2 linked regions of the Tribolium castaneum genome follow. Each later gene encodes a partner of the first gene's protein in a complex. Links are inferred from orthologs where the notes say so. Each region holds a gene or a part of one and is shown in the gene's direction. Other genes may lie near its edges.

Region 1 (3,012 bases):
GTGTTTGCCTAAATGTGTGGTTTCTAGCCAACCTAAAAATGAAAATTTCAAGAAAAAACCTGCGGCGGAATATCGATCTTGAAGTCGCGTGCATGCGAATGCACAATAAAGAAATAAATTTAAATTACATGCTAATTGCGCTATTTTTTCCTGTGATAAGTCATATCTATTTTAAGTACATTATTACTCGGTTTCTTTGAACGGCTTAGCACCTCTCTGATTAATAAACCGGTAACTTGAGATAAGCCGAGTGTCAATAAATTTTCAGGTCACAACCGGCGAAAATGACTTGGACAAAGACGAAGTGAACATAATCAGCGGTGCTCTCGAGCTCCGCAAGAAAACCGTCGCCGACGTAATGACCAAAATCGAAGACGTGTTCATGTTGGACTACGACAACACGATCTTAGATTTTGAGACAGTGTCGGAAATTATGAAATCAGGTTCAGTAAACTTAATCGTAAAAGAAACGGCTAAATTGCGACTTTAGGTTACTCTCGAGTTCCCGTCTTCGAAGGCAACCGTCAGAACATCGTAACGATGCTTTACATTAAGGATTTGGCGTTCGTCGATCCCGACGACAACACGCCGTTAAAAACCCTGTGTCAATTCTATCAAAATCCGTGCAATTTCGTCTTCGAGGACGTTACACTTGACGTCATGTTTCGCATATTCAAGGAAGGCAATAAGGGACATATGGCGTTCGTCCATCGAGTCAATAACGAGGGCGAAGGTGATCCGTTTTATGAAACAATTGGATTGATAACACTGGAGGATGTGATCGAGGAGCTGATCCAGGCTGAGATCATGGACGAGACGGATGTTTTCAGTAAGTAAGACATGTGGTGGTGAAATTTTGCATTAATAATTAACAGCCGACAATCGAACGAAACGGAGGAGAAACGCCGAAAGGAGGCAAGACTTTAGCGTCTTTGCCGAACGTAAAGGCGAGCCCAGTAAAATACGAATCAGCCCACAGTTGACTCTCGCAGCGTATCAGTTTTTGAGCACTGGTAAGTAACAATATTGTTAGGGCAAACAGTGAGTTGTTTGATTCAGCCGTTGAACTTTTCCTCCCGACTGTAATATCTGAGACGATTTTAAAACGTCTCTTGCGCCAAGACATCATCTACCACATTAAAAAAAACAAAGAGTGGCGCACTGACCCAGCTAATGTCATTTACCAACAAGGGAAGAATGCGGATTATTTCGTCCTGATCCTCGAAGGCCGGGTCGAGGTGACTATAGGTAAAGAGAATTTGACCTTTGAGGGTGGGCCTTTCACATTTTTCGGCACTCAAGCCCTCGTCCAAACGATCGGAGTTGGTAACGAACCTCGTCGAGTGTGCTGCAAAATTCTACAAATGTTTTTTTCAGCCGAGAGTCCTTCGGCGCCCACTTCGACGCTGGGCAGTTTAGAGTCGCTGAATTTGGACGCCTTGCTGCGTCACACTTTCCAGCCAGACTACACGGTTCGGGCCTCCAATGAGGTGATTTATCTTCGTATAAAGCGCAGTCTGTACTTGGCAGCCAAAAGAGCGACTTTGATGGAGCGGTCTCAGCGCGACTTGCAGCAGAGCAACGATCAGTTTGACGAGGAAGTTGATAAGGTTCGGGTTTGTGTGTTTGAGGCTTGGCTAACTGAAGTTGCAGCTTCTGCACTCGCTGGAGGAGGATGACACGGAGAGTGCCGGCCGACGGACGCCGCGGAAACAGTCGTCGAAGAATCTGCATCACAATCAGGAGGCGAATTTGAGTCCCAAAACACCGTCGATTTATTCGAACGTTAGTCCGCCGCATCGGTTGAGTCACGATATCAACGGGTCGATTATTGCGAGTCCTGTGGAGGACTGCCATAATGCGAGAGAGGAGGAGGTTTCGCTTTTGGCGAAAAAATCATAACATAGACACTTTGGCTCTGGTCGAGAGTCACGATTGTACTTAATTTATTTGTTAAAGATTAGTTTAGGGTGATAACAATTCCGTACCTTATAACATCGTGTAGGTGCATATTTATTGAAATTTTATCGTTAGAAATTGTTGAAATTATCCAAGTTGATACGTAAATAGTGACAATTTTATCAAAATGGTTTTATTTTTAGTTTGACAAAAACTAGCCTGATTCCTTAGTAGAGTAATAGGCGGGACAACGTCGCCACATTGCCCATTATTTTTATATTACTATTTATTAAAATCAAGTGTCACAATTTATACTGTGAAGCAATCGCTGTGTTTATTTTATTTTTGTTGATCTTTATTTTTAGAATTAAATTACGAAGTGTACAATTCTAACAATCAATACCTCTGCTAGTAGTACTTAGCGTTGTAAACTCTACTTAAGCCAAGTAACTTAGGTTTTTGTCAATTTTTGAAACTTGTTTTCAATTTAAAGTGTCAAATTTTATGTTTCCTGTTTTTTTTATTTTACTTTTGTTTTGTTACTTGAATAAATGATAAGATTAACGAATGTGTTTCATTTCCCGCGTTCTGGAAATTTCAAATGCTAGTCGGTAGAGCAGTTCCCTATAAAATTTAAATTTGCAAATAAACACAACTTCGATTACATCAATCAAATATGTAGTTAACGCTCGTGCTATTTTGGTCAATAAATTTATTTAAAGTTGTGTACAAAGCAATTTTCTTTATAAATTTCCAGTAAAAATTAAAATTGCTCAGTCGATAAATCTGTTCCCTGTAAACATATGTCAGGCCGAGCAGAAAATGACAAGTGTGTGTTATCTGCCAAGCACAGGAAAAACAACAAATAAAATTTTTCGTGTTCCGAGTTAAATCCACGTTGAACGATTTTTTATTTGTTATGTAACAGGTATGTTGTTGTTGTTTTTCGCCCAGCTCGGCCCAATTCATTGATGTTTCTGAACAGATAACGCGGTGTTCAACGACTGAAACCTTCTAGTTGGGGCTCCGCACAATGGAGAACTTATCAAATATTGAACTGGAATGGATCGACCAGACTAACAACAGCTGGTCGCTAAAAGACTGTGATAGTAT
Region 2 (2,628 bases), on another chromosome or scaffold:
CAGCGGACCTATGGTATGATTTTTGCGTGAAAATGATTGGATTTTCTTTACGAATTCATGGTTTTTGGGCGCGAGGAACGTTAACCGTTAACCCCATGTCCCACGTCAGTTGTGTTTTGTGGACGGCGTGGAGTGGAATTCAAAAAACAATAAAAAATCGGACGAATATCCGATTTTTGATTGCTTATTGTTGACGCAAAAATACTAATTATGCTTATTGAAGGTGACATTGATTCCGTTGTTGTCACGAGTATGTGTTTATATTAAAAGGAACGCTTTGGCACCAATTCAAATGTTTTTTGGAAAGCGTGATTATTATTTGTTGTGTGACAAGTTCTTTTTCGAGGTTTTCAATGAAGACGCCACTAATTTATAGACTCGTTAGCGTTGTATGTATGATAATTAGCGAAGGTCAGATGGATGGGGTGTATGGATTGGCTTGTAATCTCTATTTCCGTCCTGAATTCTTGCTAATTGAGATTGTTTTTGTTGCAGTACCTTGGTGAGACAGTGCTCGCATACATGGAGTTCCATTTGGATAGCGCAGAATATTGCCAGGCTCAACACAAATAAATTAACAGGAAATTAAAAAAGATTATATAAACATTGAATTTAGTCATTTGCATCATCGCCATAGCATTGTTGGAATTACCTCAACAAGAGCCAAATAAGAGTTGGTAATTTGCGATGAATTAAAGTTCAGTTAAAAATAACGATTTATTTATTTTAGTTATCTTCCCTACAATCTACTATATTTGCATAAGCATATCATCAAGTATAAAAATAGTGTACATAACTCAAAAGTTCTAGGCAAATTAATCCTATGTTAATTTATTTGAAAGACTGAAATATTGCTTTAAACTCCCGATATATAGTTTAAAGTATAATTTTGTGGAAATTCTTTTTATAACTATACACTTTTGGCCCATAATAGAGGAGATAGCTTATTTGATCTCCAAGAGTGATACTCTGATATTCTAAACACATTTAGTGTTACTTGAAAGTGTCTTGTTGTGGAATGAACAGTACAGCCATGCGTCAGAAAGACATAAGACCTGCCGCAGCTGAGATCGAGCACAAAGGATTCAAGTTTCTTATCACGGACAGACCTTCCGACCAAACAATTCATGTTTACATCCAGGTCAGCTCGCACCAAATTTAACCAAAAATCACTTTTTACTTACGCAGGAACTGAAAAAGCACAGAGTTACAGCGGTAGTCAGGGTATGCCAACCTTCCTATAAAGTCGACGAACTCGAGAACGAAGGCATCGAAGTTTACGATCTCTCCTATCCTGACGGAACCTTTCCACCCAACGAAATCGTCGATGCGTGGTTCAAGATTTTGAAGAAGCACTTTCATGACAATCCTAATGCTTGTGTAGCCGTTCACTGTATAGCTGGCTTAGGAAGGGCTCCGGTAATGGTCGCTTTAGCTCTCATAGAATTAGGTCTCAAATATGAAGAAGCAGTCGAGCTGATTCGAGAGTATGTCGTCATTTTTTTTTTTTTTGTCACGTTTATTTGGTTTTTGTTACAGAAAAAGGCGAGGTGCAATTAATGCCAAGCAATTAGGTTTCCTTGAGAAATACCGTCCTAAATCTCGGCTGAAATTGAAGAACGGACACAAAAACTCATGCTGCGTGCAGTAAACTGTCATTACATATATGTGTTCAATAAAATTGCAACAGATCACTTAACTCATCATACCTATTATCTCTAATTGTGTGAAATACAAAAATATGCTTATTTTGTGTAAACATTCGTTTGGCCGATCGCGCAGTAGGCAATTCAACTTTTAACATAACTGTGTATATATGGTTATTTATTTAAGTGACTGTGTTTTCCAAATTTTACCATTGACGAGTACATGCTAGTTCTTTGTAACCATTTTCAAGCGTTATTTATTTTAAAGTAGGTTTGATTTTATTGACAGCTTTTTAACGACGATTTTCTTTTGATTGTCCTGCATTATTTTTCGTCTGTAATTACATTGCAACCATGTTGATCACTTAGATTTCACATTTTTAAGTAGACTTTCTGGAAAAATATATTTTATTATTATGGGTACACAGCGTCTCATTTCAAAACCCGTCCTTAGGAAGAATACATTTTTATTGAACTTTCAATACAAGAACACGAACGAAAAAACAAAATAAATAAACGAAACGAATTAACAACCAGGCATTGGACAGACTAGATCCACTTTAGCATTGGCAATTTTTTGTTTGACTAAATAACCGCCAATGATTTCGGCCACTTGGTGGGGCTGGTCCTCGTGAATAGCATGTCCCGACTTTGACAGCACTTGCAACTGAAACTTGCCTAAAACAGAAATTAAAAACCGAAACAAGGTCACGCGTTTACCTTGCATTTGTCCCACAGTTAGGGCGGTATCAAGGCCATGGATATTAGCAAGCAAAAGTAATTTCGGAATGCGTAAATCGAGAAATTTTTGCGACAACCCTTTAAACCAACCAGTCCAAAACCGCTCAGTTTTACTTAAATCAATCCTCCAGGTGTACTTAGGGCCGTCCTCGCCGCTCCCAGGCTCGGTCTTTGCCGATTTAGGCAGCGGCGGCTTCCCGCAATCGGAACAATTGCTCTCGTCATCCTCCTCAATCGTGGG

The links. The genes of interacting proteins can lie anywhere in the genome.
Region 2: the proteins of unextended protein (region 1) and PRL-1 are in contact, whole or in part, in a crystal structure (PDB 8CT8), measured with the Drosophila melanogaster proteins. The link is inferred for Tribolium castaneum from reciprocal best matches to the Drosophila melanogaster genes uex and PRL-1. Residues at the interface, in NP_001104390.2 of Drosophila melanogaster: Leu391, Val422, Thr423, Lys442, Cys445, Glu446, Gln449, Asn450, Pro451, Phe454, Phe456, Asp458, His480, Val482, Asn484, Gly488, Asp489, Pro490, Phe491, Tyr492; in NP_001260487.1 of Drosophila melanogaster: Asp32, Ile33, Thr34, Ile35, Asn36, His37, Asp77, Gly78, Cys109, Ala111, Leu113, Gly114, Arg115, Arg142, Arg143, Gly144, Ile146, Asn147, Gln150.

Annotation. Positions count from the first base shown.
Region 1 is NC_087397.1:6,213,488-6,216,499, reverse strand, and holds the end of unextended protein, read left to right. Parts: intron 1-268; coding exon 269-443; intron 444-490; coding exon 491-829; intron 830-875; coding exon 876-1,013; intron 1,014-1,059; coding exon 1,060-1,326; intron 1,327-1,377; coding exon 1,378-1,610; intron 1,611-1,653; coding exon 1,654-1,902; 3' UTR 1,903-2,463; downstream 2,464-3,012. Other genes in the region: probable E3 ubiquitin-protein ligase HERC1, read left to right, coding at 2,933-3,012. UniProt on the Drosophila melanogaster protein: Probable metal transporter. Acts downstream of PRL-1 and protects the nervous system against olfactory carbon dioxide stimulation.
Region 2 is NC_087403.1:7,974,943-7,977,570, forward strand, and holds the end of PRL-1 (PRL-1 phosphatase), read left to right. Parts: exon of another isoform or gene 1-13; intron 14-495; 5' UTR 496-673; exon of another isoform or gene 674-677; intron 678-730; 5' UTR 731-1,018; coding exon 1,019-1,141; intron 1,142-1,188; coding exon 1,189-1,487; intron 1,488-1,539; coding exon 1,540-1,651; 3' UTR 1,652-2,069; downstream 2,070-2,628. Other genes in the region: protein phosphatase methylesterase 1, read right to left, coding at 2,173-2,324, 2,367-2,628. UniProt on the Drosophila melanogaster protein: Probable phosphatase. Inhibits growth possibly by negatively regulating Src64B-induced growth. Regulates central nervous system circuit formation and stabilization of synapse-dense terminal arbors.